2 linked regions of the Pelodiscus sinensis genome follow. The protein of the gene in region 1 interacts with the protein of each later gene in a pairwise test. Links are inferred from orthologs where the notes say so. Each region holds a gene or a part of one and is shown on either strand. Other genes may lie near its edges.

Region 1 (8,275 bases):
TCAAGCGATGGTTGATTTATTAACCACCTTTTGTGGCAAATGGTCCTTGAACAAACTATTGGTCTACAGTAAGGGGAAGTTTTTTGCTAATGAAAACATAAAAACCATTCAGCTCATGACAGGTATATTGGCTATGGATTAATAACTGCCAGGCAAATACTCAGATTCCACAATAGGGGGACTGTGAATTTGCTCAGTTCTAACCTGTGACATAACAGGAGACAGTTAATTTTTTTTTCCAGTGTCCAAAACTAAATTAACTTCCGTTTGGTTTGAACAAAACATGTTTGACCTGGCATGTATTTGTATTTGTTTTTTATTTTGTTTTGGGGATCATGCTTTTTCTGTTAAATCAACCCAGTTAACCTTTTAAACTAGATGCCATTTTGAAATAAAGAGGTTTGACTATCCATTAAAAACATAATTCTGGGCGAAACTCTTCTCCGGACTTGATCTGAATTTGCAAATAGTTTTGATGAACCTGAAATGGTGTTTTTTCAGCAATTAAACTATTTGTCCAGAAAATTTTGCAGAGCTCTGCTGTAGATCACTTCCTCTGGCAGATGATTAGGAGAGTGTTTCATGAATAAAAGGATGGTGTGAGCAACACCATCCAGCCTTTGCTTACTGGTCTGAAAAGCAAACGGGAAATGCTGTGTTGTGTTCCAGCTGTTTTCTCTGGAATACATTCTGCAGTTTGGTTCCAGAGGTAGGAGAATTGGGCCTCTTTAAATTGAACCTCGTTACAATGTTCTTCCCTAAACAGTTGCATAATGTGACATAGTGCTGTTAAATAGCTTTAAGCGTCATCTCAGAGGTTGCCATATTTTTGTTGGGGGCAAAGCAATTCATCTGTAGAACTGATATATCTGTTTAAATGTGCAGAAGACTACACAGCCCTACAGAAATATTAATTCACTCAATTCTCTTCCATCTTTCAGGTAAATAAATTTTCCCACTTCCCTGGTAGGGAAACTAAGGCAAAGAGGTTAAGTGATCTGCACAAGGTCACATACAAAATCAATATCAGAACAAGGTTGGAAACTCGAATTCCTGAGTCTTGGTCCTGTGTGTTGGTCAAGAGACCCAGTATTAACAGGACAAGAGACACATGAGAAGTGAATTCTTACAGTTCAGCAACCCCATAATTACAAAGGACACACTCAGTTTCCCCCATTGGGTTCTGACACACAATTGCATATGAAGTAAAACTGTTCGATTGACTTTTCTTGGGGCCCATGTATATTTATTTTAAGTTCTATTTTTTTTTTCAAATCTCATACAACACAAGTTCAATCTCTTATGAAGAAGCCTTCACATAACATGCGCTAGCCTGTCACAAATATTCCCCACGTTTTTTCTTTTACTGGATTGGGTGGGTGGGTTGGCTGTAGCTATGTTGTAACTGTCGCTTGAGCGCAAAACAGCCCTTTGTTGCATAGAAAAGAGAGGTTGCTTGTGATGATGATAAAATGAACAGGGGAGAAGGGATTTTAAGAAAACATAGGGCAGGGGGGACCAACTTCGTGCTAAAATGAAGAATGAAACTAGAATGTTGCAAGCTGGACTGCTGTTTGATAACTGACTTGAGCATCATGCTATGTATGTGCTATTATGGCACTATTAGCTTGTAACACAGATCTCCCAGCGCTTTTTGGGGTTAAATATCTGATTCATCCCTAACTCCCTTGAGAAACAGACACATGAGAACAAATTTACCCTCCACTATAGCAAATGAAAAGCAATTATCTCTGATTATCCTCTCCCTGGAACCCATGTAATTTAGGAGTAACTCCACTGACAACTATTTAAGAGTAATGCCACTGAAGTTTACACCAGTTTTACACCCATATGAGAGAAATTACACCACAAAGAAAAAGTAGTGCGGTAATAGTAGCCTGGGACCTGGAAGACCAAATTCAATCTATGCTCTACTGCCTACTTGTCATGTGGTCTTGGCCAAAAATTTTAAGTGGCTAGTGATTTTGAAGATCTGATTGTTTAAACATCCAACTTGAGATGCCGTAAAGGGTCAAAAATTGTGGAGCATTCACCTTCTGATAATCTGACCCTTTAAGGCATCTATCCTGTTAGACACCCAGACTAATTAGTCATTTCTGAAAAACTTAGACTAATTACTCTCTCTCTACCTCAGTCACGCTGTCTGTAAAATGGGAACAGTAGCTGCCTCATGGGCATTTAGTGAGCCTTCAGTGATGTTCAGGAAGTACTTGGTGTTCCCTAGTTGAGAAGCACTGTAGGCAGCACAATATTACATTTAATGTTCAATTAGCCTTTGTTCTGTTTCTCTTGATACAAAAGGCATAGAAAAGAATGAGTTTTGCCAAGCGGCAATTGTAGGAAGACTAAAGGAGGATATGATAGGGGTCTATAAAATCATGACTGGTGTGGAGAAAGTAAATAAGAAAAAGTTATCATTTCTATAACACAAAAACTAGGGGTCACCAAATGAAATTAATAGCTGGTTTAAAACAAAGGAAATATTTATTCACACAATGCACAGTCAACCTGTGGTACTCCTTGTGAAGGTCAAGACAATAACAAAAGAGCTAGATAGATTCATGGAGGTTAGGTCTATCAATGGCTATTAGCCAGATGGGCAGGGATGGTGGCCCTAGCATCTGTTTGTCAGAAGCTGAAAATGGGCAACAGGAGATTGATCACTTGATGATTCCCTGTTCTGTTCATTCCCTCTGGGAGCATCTGCAATGGGCAACTGTGGAAAGACAGGATACTGGGCTAGATGGACCTTTGGCTTGCTCCAGTATGGATGCTCTTATGTTAATGGATTTTGGCCCCTCCCTCAAAAGTTTTTTAAAAGCAAAAGAAGCATTTCAGGGATATTTTAAAATTCAAATTGAAACCTGAAACAAAAAGGGTCCTCAACAACCCCCCCCCCCCCGCAAATATTATTTAATTCTGCTTCCAGCTAGGTCGGGGTGAGTTGGGGTGAGGAAACTTTTTTGGGTTGGGGGCCACTGACCCACAGAAAAATTAGTCGGGGGCCACACACAAGTGAGAAACAACAACCAAAAAACCTCACCAATGTGGCCTCCGACTGTGAAGGAGAAAGACCCTCCCTCCCTTCCCCTCACACACTAGAGCCTAGATGGGCCCAGGCTAGATTTTGGGTGCTCCAACCCCACAGGAGGATGGCAGAGAAGGGAGCTGGAGGGGGGAGCCCTGAGCCTTTGGGGTCTGATCCAGGCAAGCCACAGGCCACATCCAACCCCCAGGCCTTAGGTTTCTCACCCCTGAGCTAGGTCATGCTAGCACCAGAAGCTGTCTGCAATGGCAAGTGGCTGGGTTTATTTTCACTTGTCTTGCAGGGAATGAAACACATACACAAAAACAGCAGTAAAGCCTTTTAAACTTGGGAGCCCAAAGTTAGGCACCTAAGTAAATGGTTTGATTTTTGTTTTCTTCTTCCAGAGGCTCTTGAGCAGATGCTGTTCCCATTCCATTGACTGGACATTCAGGGGCAAGGGGCATTCACAAAGTGTCTTTCATACGGAGTTAGGCATCTAACAGCAAGTACCCAAGAGAATATTTTGGTGCACCATGAAAATGAGCATTTAAATAAACAAGTGATTGCAATAAAGGTGGAAAATTAAATGATTGTCTAGACCAGGCGCACAAACGCTGTACAAACAGAACAACAGGACAGTCTGGGCCCCAAAGAGCTTATAGTCTACCTATAAAATAAGTGGATACAAACCTACAAGGGAGGACAAGGAAACAGAGAAAATATTGGTTCACTTAATTGGCAATGGTTCAGCTCACCAGCTGCAGCGTGTCCCTGTATGTGTATAAAAATACAGGTCTGTAGAAGCTGAATGTTTAGTAAAGACTGTAATTTACTTTATTAATAAATATAAATTAGCCATTCAAAAATTCATCTCCAAAACCAGTGTTGCATTTTTGTACAGTTTCCTGTTGAAGTGTTGAGGAAAGTGCAGTTAATGGGCCCAAATGTGGTGCAGAGGTGAGCTTTAGTAATGGAGGGGAAGGAAGCAGTGCTGTAAACTCTCTATAGCCCTTACGGTTATTTATCTCTGTGTTTTAAAAAGAGCTTTATCTAACCCAGCAGTGGGCAACCTGCAGCCTGCGGGCCACATGTAGCCCATGCACCTGCTTTCCCCGTGCCTCCGGGGTCCTGCACTTACCTACTCCTCCCCCTTCCTCCCAGCACTTCCAGAGAGCCACAAATTGGCTGCTCTTCTTCCAACCTCCCAGGGCTAGAACACCATGAAGTCCTGGGTGAGGGGCTGGAGCAGGGACCCGAAGCACTTGGGAGAGGAGGCAGGGAAGAGGCCGGATAAAGAATTGATATTGTGTGAATTGTTTCTTTTTTATTATTTGAAGTTGAGGACCACTCTGTTAATCCATGAATGATTAAAGCATTTCAACTTGTTTTGAAATATGCTGCATATTAACATATTTAATCTTATTCTTGGGGTCATGATTAATGCATGCGGGTTTATTTCAGTCTTGCAGCCCGCTCATTAACTGTGTGTGCTACCCCCCAGGGGCACAAACGGATTCCCCACTTATTGAAGAAATTGTGGTGGTACTTTGCAAAATCCCACTAGGTGCTTAAATACCTTTTTAAGCCTCTGCCCATAACATCCTGTTGTCAAAAGTGGCCTGGGCCCTCAGCAGCCTAAAACTTGTGTGGCTTTTTATTTCCCTCACTGCCTAAGTCACTTCTGGGCAAGGACGGGAGCCCTTAGATCAGTGAAAAAAATTCCCCTTTCAGGCAGGCATCGGCTGGGCATTGCTGGGAGGACTGGTAGCCGCGTTTGAATTCCTGTCTCCTTTCTTTGTAAACAGGTGCCTGGCCGGGGCATGCAGGCATGGGTGTAAGTACACACAGGTGCCCCCTATGCAGCAGTGCTGAAAAGTAACTTTCAATTTCCCACAGGTGTGGTCCTACTGCAACCGGGCTCCTTGCCAGTTGTTTCAATAGCTCCCTGCTGGGTTCTGCCCCGGCTCTTAGCAGAGCTGCGCCCCCCTTCCCTGTCCCCTCCGGTTTGTGGGGTCTGCGCCCCGGTTTGCACGCGCGGTGGGGCAGGGACTGTGCCTGGAACGAAGGGCGTTTCCCCCAGCGCAGTGGGGCTGGGTGCCTGATTGGCTGGTGCCGCAGCGGCTGCTCCAATCTCAGGCTCGCGGCGGGTTTCGCGTGTCCCTGTGTGTTTAACGGGGCCTCCCACTGCAGCGGCGCTCGCAAGCGGCTACGCCAGCGGCGCTTCCAGGTGGCTCCCCCCCTTGTCTCTCCAATTCACCCCTGCGCTCCGCCGGGCCGCGGCTCGCTCGGGCCATGGCCTCCCCGGCCATCGGGCCGTGCCCCTGCCCGCTGCTCCTGGACAAAGAGCAGCAGCTCTTCCTGCAGAGCCTGAGCGCCCACGAGAGGAAGAAGATCCTCAAGCGCTCGGCGTCCGCGGACGCGAAGCCGCGGAGGCGGCAGGGGACCCTGCCCCAGCAGCGGGGCGCGGCGCCGGAGGATGCTCCGCCGGCGCAAGTGGCTGCAAGCGGCGGGGCGCCCGCGGACGGGGCGCGCCCGGGAGACGGGAGGTTCCCTGGCACCGCGGAGGAGCCCGGGCGCACGGCGCTAGCTGCGTGCTCTGCCGCGCAGCCCTGGGAGCCGGGGGGCAGCGCCGGAGCCCCCAGCCCGCCGGACTCCCCCGGCTCGGCCAAGCCGGCCCGCTCCGGGCTGCTCCACCTGCGCCTGCGGCGGCGCTCCGGGGCGCCGCGCCTGCTGCCCGACGTGCGGACCATCTTCGAGCAGCCCCGGGACCCCCGCGTGCGGCAGGAGACGGGCGAAGGGCACCGCTTCCAAACCTTCGCGCTCTGCAGCGGCTGGTGCGACCTGTGCGGGCAGGCGGTGCAGCAGCGAGTCCTGCGCTGCGCCAGTAAGTGTCTCTTCTCCCCCCTCCCCAGCTCCCTCCTGGCAGGTGACCGATCGCTTCCCTTGGCATCCCCCACCGCCCCCCTTCTCACTGCAGATGTCTGACCCGCCCCTCCTTGCACTGATCGGCAGCCCCTCTCGGTGCGAAATTGAATCACATCCCAACCCCTCTGCCCCCTGACAGGAGTGGGATCCCTGCTCCCCCCCCCCCCCCGCTGGTGTCTGACAGTGACAGGTGGTCTCCACAGCCCCCTGCCCTACACGCTCCTGAGGGCATCCGGAGAGCGTGTGTGTGTGTATGTAAGAGCACAGCGCATTGCCTGAGAAGGGATAATCCGGGCAACCTGGTTGCATCTAATCAGAAATCGTTTAAAGCAGTTAAATTCCCCTAGGAGAGCACCTGTGTTTGATGACAAAGGTTACTTCAGGGTGCCAGTGGTGGTATGTATATTAGAGGGGAGCTGTTTCTTTCACAGGCTTCAAACCTTGAGTAACCTCCCAGCTGTGGAATATATTTCCCCCTCATTTTTTTCTCTATAGCTTGTTGGTTTATTAACCCTATTACATACCAAGGTATTTACCTTCATCTGCAACTTTGACAGCATTGTATGCCTTGCCCTTTGCCCCACTGACAAATGACCTGATACTCAGACAATGTATTTGCTGATGTATGCTTGATTTAAGTCACTTGTTTTATCTCTTCAGGAGCTGTAAAGGCTTGCTAAGTACATAGCTGTGTTGAAGGATGACAGATAATGGTTTGATGCATGGAGCTCTGTTGCTGGTTTATTGGGATCTAATGTAATATTGTCTATAAAACACTATTGATTTGCTACCACTATAGATAGATAGATAGATTAGTCTGATGAGTTTTTGAGTCTGGCAGAGAAAAATGTGTGTGTGTCTATCATGCCATAGTCATGAGCTCCTTCAGGAGTTCATTTTGCTCACTAGCGCATAACACTGATCATCTTGGTTTTAAGATTTAGAGTAGCTGTGCTGTGAGTTCTGGTGATGTTTGATAAGTCTTTTCTCATCCTGTTCATGCACGTTTTGGGAAGGTGCAAATTCACAGAGTAATCACAACGATAGTGTTGTAAGATGTTCCTACCTTCATTATAGAATTTTCATCATTTAATGATCTGGGTTCATTCAGCTCATCCCTGCTGGTAAAGAGGTCTTGCTCTGATCTCAGTTGGAGTTGCACCTGCTTATGGGACATAATCCCTAGAATGCAGGGGTGTATCTGAATTGTTGCATGAGGTATATTTTTCTGCCAAGATGCCATTATAGCAATGTAAGGGCATTTCTCAATAAGCTGAATGATACACTGGGGGTTGGAGGAGGGTTGATTGAACTTAATTGTCAGCGTGGAACTGCTGATGGTGTCAAGGGAACTTAGATTATTGATTTTTTTTAATTGACTCTCTTGTATAGTAATCAAAGCTTAATATTTGATGGAGTGACTGGGTGCAGATTTTCTGCTGCCCAGCGCTGGCTCTAAATTAAATGGTTCATTTTCTTTCTTCCCTTCCCCTTTTTGTAGCTGATGAATATGCTTTCATGTTCAGTTTTGAATGGACATTCACTCTGTCTGGGCATTAACATTAATTTAAGGAACTGAAAATTACTTTTTCCTGTTACTCCTCATAATTGTTAATATGGTTACAGAGGTAGCGAGGACAGTAATTAAATTTCTCTTGCCAAAAGATGGCACTGATAACCTGTGAAGCACTGGATTGGAATTTTTTAAAAGCAGCTAAACATTTCTGCAATGACTTCTTTTGTCCTGCATTGTCCGTTGTTCCTAACCCCACCTTGTGCAGCACATAGAATCTCATAAAGTATAATATTCCAAAGCACATCATGATTAGATAAACTGCTCTTCAAAATGAACAGGTTCTAGCATAGGATTGCATGCTTCAGAGGTTAACATTGACACTGCTGCTCAGTCTGTGCTGATGTACATATTCAAATCTAAATTACCTGTGTAGTAGACACTGATCGAGAAGGAGGGAGTTCTCTTCCTTAAATTCACTCTGGTGGTTGGCTTCATTAATAGCTTATGGGAAATACCTAGTTACTAACTAAAGAAACTGAGACCAGATACCTCTATGTGAACTAATAAAATGTGAATATCATTTTTAAAAATAATTAGAACAGGGTCCTTGTTCATCTTAAAACATCTGGGATCTGGAAAAGGAAGCATGTAGGGAGTTGAAGTATCTTGATTGGGTGTTTTTCCTACTCCAGTACCTGAGGAATTTCCAGCAGGCTGCAGAAACCATGCAGCATGTGTGATTGCCCCCAAGCTCTCAGCACCATTTTTGTTTACAGCGCGGCACA
Region 2 (7,709 bases), on another chromosome or scaffold:
TATTGGGGCCTGGGAATTGGTGTATCTGCCCTCTTGCTGTAGTTTATAAAAATAAGCTTGCCCTGCATGTGCTCTTGTGCACCAGTGTAGTGATGCTAAGTGATGGGCACTGAGACCTGAATCAGAGAAATTCCTAGAGGCAGACTTGGTGCACTTCCTAGGGCAGGTCTAAGTTTGTATTTAAGAATTAAAGTTCCTATCTCTTAATGACTATGCAGGAAACCAACACAAAGTGAAACTGACCCAAGATCATGCTCCTAAGTCTAGGGACAGCCTGGAACATCAGAGGCCACACTGAGGCCGGAAAGTAGGATAAGAGGCAGCAGGAAAGAGATTCAAAGCACCATTGGAAGTCATGGACTGACTTCCTAAAGCTGTCGGGTCTGGGTCAGCAGTGGAGCTCAAAGCTGAGCCATTCAGCACCAGTTCCCGCCAGCTAAGGATGTGGAGGCACTCACTGGCTCTGGGGAAGATGGCTCTTCTCTTCTGAGAAGGCCAGCATGTCTGGAAGACAAAGCTACTCAAGCTTTGTATACACAGAACAGTTTAAAGTGCAGCTGCAGCAGCACTTTAAACTGAAAGTGTGGCCACGGCACAAGTGGGGGCCGAGAGCTCTCCCAGTGCCTATGTAACCTGCCTCTGCATGGGGAGCAGCTCACAGCGCTGGGAGCCACAGGGCTGTAGCCTGGCTCACACAGGCAACTTACAGTGCTGTAACTTGCTGCATTCCAGGAAGGGGAAGTGTCTCAATGAGCTAGAATACAGTACTGTCAAGTGCCCGGATAGACTTCACCTTAGGGTGGATCATCACCACCTGCCTGCGTGTCTGAGAATCCCCTTGTGCCCCATTCAGCAGGTATTTCTGTGCTTTGAGCCCTCCCTGAGAAACAGCTCCCTACCCCAATTGTGGTGAGAACAATTTGCCCAAATGGTTTTAGGCACAAGCAACATAAAGGGCCACCTGAAGTCCTCCGCATCCCTCCCCTAAACAAGGCCGCGTTGCTCTCCAACAAGTGCTCACCCAGCAGTTCTCCCATGCCCAAGGCATCTCTAGCTGACCCACAGCCACAGGGCAATTCCTGTAAACAGAGCCCAGTATCCAATGTTGGGGAGAAGGCTAACACCACTGTGCTACTGGCTGCTGGATTCTGTGCTCTGCAAGGCAGCTGTGAAGGGAACAGCATGCACTTGTTATGAAGCTAGACACTAAACACCCTGCCAAGGCCCTGGCTCTCTTTGCCAAGTGGATTTGGCCTGGAAGGGCCCTGCTCAGGGAAAACAGGGCAGCCAGGTAGAGATTAGGGGCAAAGGTCAGGAAGGCCTCAGGAGGAGACAGACAGGGAATTTAAGCAAACAGGGCTGGGCAGCTCAGGGCAATGGGGCCTACTGACCTCTGCACCCCCCGACTGGACAGACTGGAAATAGTGGCCATCAAATCGCTCTTTGTGACCTACTGGAAATGAGTTGGTGGGTTTCAGTCCAGATTCCTCCTCCAGGCTGCCAGCCCCACTGATACCCATGTGAGAGCGCTCAGCAGGGGCCCAGGACCACAGACTGACCCATCCTCTCACCCTAACCAAGGTGCCTGCACCAGGATACAATGCAGGAGGGGGCAGGAGGGCAGCCAATACAAAACTGCTCCACAGGCAGCAGCTGCTCTGGAAACCACCACCGGACAGTGTCCTCCCCCAGCACTAGAACTGGCCCGGGGGACAGGGTGGGGTGATGCACTCAGGCTGCAAGAGGGAAGCTTGCTCACTGGATCAATCTGAGGGAAAGTCAACTCTGTCCAAGGATCAGCATGAGGCCTGTGCCTCCCTTACCACGTCTCTGGTGCAGATGACCTGGTGAATCACCCCCCCTGCTTGAAAGGCTTCTAGGTTAACCGTCCCCCTGCACAGGTGGGGAACAGGGCAGCCAGGCAGAGGTCAGAGGCAAAGGTCAGGAAGGCCTCAGGAGGAGACAGACGGGGAATATAAGCTCTGAGCTAGGCCAGCCAGGCTGACTCACAACTCCATTTAAGAGGCGGTTATGAAGCCAAGAGCTCTGGATTATCATAGTGGTCCCTTGTCTGTACAAAGAGCTATGAATTGTTAACATGAGTCTGTCTGCCCGGTCCCAAGCAGACATTCCTTTGGAGGGACAGGCAGGATCCGCCGCTCAGGGAGGGGCCTTTGACTGGAACAGATTTCACAGAAACCGAAGGTCCCGCCACAGATTGCTGCCCCCCCCCCCTTGCCAAGGCTGCAATCGTGGCTGCGCTGTTACTTTCAGAGGCAGCGGAGTTTGCCCAACCAACTGCTGGAAGTCACCCCCGCCAGAGGGGAGCCTCCGAGAGGACCCGCCAGGCCACTCACCGCGGCCTGGAAAGTGACAGACCCTGAAACAGCTTCTGAGCCCCTCGCTCCGGTCTGTCCCCCTGCGCCCGGACTGGCCCGAAACGCCTGAGCAGCTCGGGGAACGTTGCTAGATACCCACTAAAACCAGCCTCTAGCCCACCAGGAACCAGACTCCTGCTCCCCAGCCCTGCCCGCAGATCAGTCCTAGCGGAGCCACCAGCACCCGAGGCCGGGGCAAGGGGAAGCGCACGGAGATGGTGCCGCGTGCCCAAGACAGAGGGATGCTTGGCGGCGATGTGGAAGAAAGGCCCCCGGGGACCGCCCTCCTCCGACCGGTGCTTGCCGAGGCCAGCCCCAAGCCAGGCACAGAACCCGGGCAGCCTGGCTCCCAGGCGGCTGCTCCCTCCGCCACGCCAGGCTCCAGGACCAGCGGCCCAACGAGGGAGCCGGGGAGGATGGGTAGCCCGGCAAACTCCCCCGGCTGCTGCAGCCCCACCCGGCTTTGTTACCCAACCGCCCCCGGCCGCCCCCGCTGCGCTGATTACCGGGCTCTGGGCAGGGCGGGGGCACTCGAGAGCCGCCCAACAAGGCGGCATCCGCGCTCCTGCTCCGTCCTTCTCGGGCAGCGGCGCCCGCGCCTCCATCCGCCGCCCTGCGGGGCCAGCGCAGCTGCAGACACCGCCCGCCTGTCTCCCTGCGCCCCGCACCAATGGCTGCTGCGCCGCCGTTCGCTGCCGCGGCCTCATTGGCGCCCCGCTCGCCCGCCCAGACAATGCGCAGCTGGCTGGGGAGTGTCCGCAGCAGAGGCGGCGGCTGCAGGGGGGCGCTGGGATCGCAGCCTGAGCCTGGCCAGGGCCCGGGAGAGAGGGTGGGGGCCTGACCCGCCCCAGGCGGGGGAAGAAAGGACTTTTGTGAAGCGTTGGGGGGCGGGCAGTCCACCCAAGCGAGCTACTCGGGGGGATGTGTCCCACTGGCCTCGCCCGGCTCAGACACAGGCCAGGTCGGGCGGGACAAGGGACATTCCCAGCTGATGTTTGACGGGTGTGCGGTACCAGCAAGCAAGAGTTTAAATCCATTTAGGAGCCAGACAGAGCCAAGAGTCACCACCTGGAAACTGAGTGTTCAAATGGGACTAACTAAGGGGCTGGTTTTGAACCCTCTGGGGAACTAGCCACAGGCTGAGATGGCCAAGGGACATCTTGAAATCCTTACATCAAGCCTAGGTGTTTCATCTAGAGATTTGCCTAGGCTACATAGAAAGCATTGGCAAAGTCGGTACTGTACCAACTAAAATTTCATACAGTGACTTGTTTACACTGCTCTGCATACTAGGCCCTGAACTGGAAGTACAATATTTATATATCCAGGGATTATATTTTAATTATTTGGCCAAAATGAGCGAGTCAGCCATTTTTCAGTGACCGTGTGCAATGGCACTTGTATATTTCTGTGTCTGGTTTTGTGAGTGAGTCTTTTTCAAGGGGGAGCAAGACGGGGGCACAGAAGACAATTCAGACTCTGCAAGGGGCATGACAGTCTGCAAAGGTTGCAAGCCCCTGCTCTGGAGTATTCGCACCAGCTCCACCACAAGCCATTGGATAAGCAGGCCTGGCCAGTTTGCACGGCCCAAGGCAGCATGTTGTGGTTGGCTGTACCACATGGCTGGGTGGCTCCCAGCCAGGCAGCACAGGGTCCTAGGCAACCGCCTTGCTCACCTTTCCCTAAGGTCGGGCCTGTTGGCAGGAGTCTGGCCTGTGCTATGCAGCATACCCAGCTGTGGTCCCTTCTGGGCTTAAAATCTGCAAAACTCACAACTAGGCCTGTTGATGGGGGTGGAAGGGCAAAGGCGGCACCTGCCTCTAGGCCTAGCAATTCAAAATGGCTTGGGGCTCCTGATAGCCTCCTACCAGCCCTTCAGCACCACCCAGAAGCAGCTAGCCCAAAGTCCCGCCTCTTCTGCCAGAAGCCCCGCCCCTTCGGTGAGCATGGAGCTGCCCTGCCACCCTCCCATCTTGCATAAGGGCCTGGCAGTTCGGTCGGCCCCCCCAGCTGCAGTGTTGCCAGCACTTGTAGTTGGATAGCAAGTCTCACGTTGTTCTGTGGCTCTCTTCATGCCCCAAATGCTGGGGCGAGTGCTGGTCTGAAACAACAGCTTTCAGTTTCTAAGAAGGGCTGTTGAGATAAGTGTAAGCGGGGGAATGGTCCCGCTATTGTGGGGAGCTTTCCTGGCTTCTATACTGCCCCGGTGAAATGGACCAGCAAAAGCATCTGAGTCCCCACTCCCACTTCTTTTACCCAAAGGCCTCCCTGACACTGAGGGCTCCTCTTCCATTCTCCTGAGTAGCAGAGTCCTCGAAATCCAACAAAGCTAGGCCCAGGTTTTCTGGGGCTTAATCCCCGACCTTGTAGTCACTTGGGGTAAGGGCTAGGGTGTCCCCACTCTGGGGTGCTCTCTTCACACTGCAGGCTTTCTTGACCCAGTGATCATTTCATACAGTTCAAAGCAAATACAATTTATTAAACAACTGATCAAAAAGAACAGAAAAGGAAAAATGAGAAAGGTTAAATGAGAACGCACAGCCCTCCTCTGTAGCACGGGGACATCACAAACAGCCGTCTGCAGAGTGTAAGGATAGTTCACAGTCTGTTCCTTGTAGGTCCCCGGGCTCTCTCTCAGGCCCTGGCTGTGCTGCAGGGAGGCTGCAAGTTGGACACGCTTGCTCTGGGAGTGACCACATGGCCTAGGCTCTAGGTGGCAGGACCCCTCTCCCAGTTGGAGTTACAATCCCTCTCCAAGTCTGGCCTGCAGGGTGGCGCTGGTGGCGTGTCCCTGCCCAGAGCCTCTTTCCCCCTTTGCTGGTCCCAGCTACTCACCACACCCAGCTGCAGACTGCTGCTTTGCCAGACTCCAGCTCCTTGTGTTGCTTCTCTGACCCCTTTGGCTCTCTGGTCACTGCAGGTCTGCTGCTCAGCACAGGGTCTGTGCTCCTCGGGCTGTGTGTGGGGCTCTGTCACTGCAGGTCTGCCCCTCAGCACAGCTTTCACTCCTCGGGCTGTGTGTGGGGCTCTGTCACTGCAGGTCTGCCCCTCAGCACAGCTTTCACTCCTCGGGCTGTGTGTGGGGCTCTGTCACTGCAGGTCTGCCCCTCAGCACAGCTTTCACTCCTCGGGCTGTGTGTGGGGCTCTGTCACTGCAGGTCTGCCCCTCAGCACAGCTTTCACTCCTCGGGCTGTGTGTGGGGCTCTGTCACTGCAGGTCTGCCCCTCAGCACAGCTTGCACTCCTCGGGCTGTGCGCGCCTGGCTGTGACACTGCAGGTCTGCCCCTCAGCACAGCTTGCACTCCTCGGGCTGTGTGTGCCTGGCTGTGACACTGCAGGTCTGCCCCTCAGCACAGCTTTCACTTCTCGGGCTGTGTGTGCCTGGCTGTGACTCTGCAGGTCTGCCCCTCAGCACAGCTTGCACTCCTCGGGCTGTGCGCGCCTGGCTGTGACACTGCAGGTCTGCCCCTCAGCACAGCTTGCACTCCTCGGGCTGTGTGTGCCTGGCTGTGACACTGCAGGTCTGCCCCTCAGCACAGCTTTCACTCCTCGGGCTGTGTGTGCCTGGCTGTGACACTGCAGGTCTGCCCCTCAGCACAGCTTTCACTTCTCGGGCTGTGCGTGCCTGGCTGTGACACTGCAGGTCTGCCCCTCAGCACAGCTTTCACTCCTCGGGCTGTGCGCGCCTGGCTGTGACACTGCAGGTCTGCCCCTCAGCACAGCTTGCACTCCTCGGGCTGTGCGCGCCTGGCTGTGACACTGCAGGTCTGCCCCTCAGCACAGCTTGCACTCCTCGGGCTGTGCGTGCCTGGCTGTGACACTGCAGGTCTGCCCCTCAGCACAGCTTTCACTCCTCGGGCTGTGCGTGCCTGGCTGTGACACTGCAGGTCTGCCCCTCAGCACAGCTTGCACTCCTCGGGCTGTGCGCGCCTGGCTGTGACACTGCAGGTCTGCCCCTCAGCACAGCTTTCACTCCTCGGGCTGTGCGCGCCTGGCTGTGACACTGCAGGTCTGCCCCTCAGCACAGCTTTCACTCCTCGGGCTGTGCGCGCCTGGCTGTGACACTGCAGGTCTGCCCCTCAGCACAGCTTTCACTCCTCGGGCTGTGCGCGCCTGGCTGTGACACTGCAGGTCTGCCCCTCAGCACAGCTTTCACTCCTCGGGCTGTGTGTGCCTGGCTGTGACACTGCAGGTCTGCCCCTCAGCACAGCTTTCACTCCTCGGGCTGTGTGTGCCTGGCTGTGACACTGCAGGTCTGCCCCTCAGCACAGCTTTCACTTCTCGGGCTGTGTGCGCCTGGCTGTGACACTGCAGGTCTGCCCCTCAGCACAGCTTTCACTCCTCGGGCTGTGTGTGCCTGGCTGTGACACTGCAGGTCTGCCCCTCAGCACAGCTTGCACTCCTCGGGCTGTGTGTGCCTGGCTGTGACACTGCATGTCTGTCTCCACACAGCTTGCCTTTTCTGCTGCTCTTCTCAGCTCTCTCTCCTTTTCTCAGAAAGACCCAGAAAATCCCAGCTCACACGGAGGATGGGACCTGGCCTTCTAATTCTCTCATTCATCTGTCCAACCTGTCAATCAGGCTGAGCTGGAGTGTTGGCCTCTTCCCATTGTCCCTGGGCAGGGACGGATGACGATTTTGCGGGGCCTAGGGTAGCACAATTTCGCAGGGCCCCCCCTTTGACACATCGCATGCGTGGGGCTTCTTGAAGCGCGGGGCCCGGGGCAGCCACCCCGCTCGCCCTGCCCTATATCTGCCCCTGTCCCTGGGGTCTGTCAGTCAGTCTCATGTACCCTTCCCCTTTTGGTACTGGGAGCTGGCCAACCAAAAACTCCCACTGAGTTTTAGTAAGGGGCTAACAGTCCCCTTACATAAGCTTGAAACGTGGCCTGCATGTAACCCCAAAGGTTCAAAACCAGAAGGCAACTCAAAAGAAGCCCAGTGCATGTGTGATAGAAATTATTGTACTTAAACCCTCCAGGAGCTTGGGGTGCCCAGGGAGGGCAGCAACGCAGCTAGCAGAGCCACTAGGGCTGACCCACCATTTCTCCCCTCCCAGGTGACCCTTCCTGTTCTGCGGCTTGGCCTACTAAGGCTCCTGCTGCTTCTGCCCTGGGATTCATCCAGATCACAGCTGTCCCAGCCATCAGTCCTGCACATTCCCCAGGGCTGAACTGACTGCTGAAAAGGGACTGGAGACTAGTCAGCCTGGAAGTAGAGGCAGACGTTGCACAACAACACTCCATCTCTGCTCAGCTCACAGCAGCCTGCTCGGCCTCCCCCGAGGCCTGGCTGTCAGCCCAGCTCAACTCAGCTCTGAGTTCCAGATT

The links. The genes of interacting proteins can lie anywhere in the genome.
Region 2: the proteins of RASSF5 (region 1) and RASSF2 interact in binary tests that used the Homo sapiens proteins (3 or more experiments, as listed by UniProt). The link is inferred for Pelodiscus sinensis from reciprocal best matches to the Homo sapiens genes RASSF5 and RASSF2.

The regions. Positions count from the first base shown.
Region 1 is NC_134737.1:6,050,517-6,058,791, reverse strand, and holds the start of RASSF5 (ras association domain-containing protein 5), read left to right. Parts: upstream 1-5,199; 5' UTR 5,200-5,341; coding exon 5,342-5,933; intron 5,934-8,275. UniProt on the Homo sapiens protein: Potential tumor suppressor. Seems to be involved in lymphocyte adhesion by linking RAP1A activation upon T-cell receptor or chemokine stimulation to integrin activation.
Region 2 is NC_134738.1:481,019-488,727, forward strand, and holds the start of RASSF2 (ras association domain-containing protein 2), read right to left. Parts: upstream 3,074-7,709; 5' UTR 2,885-3,073; intron 1-2,884. UniProt on the Homo sapiens protein: Potential tumor suppressor. Acts as a KRAS-specific effector protein. May promote apoptosis and cell cycle arrest. Stabilizes STK3/MST2 by protecting it from proteasomal degradation.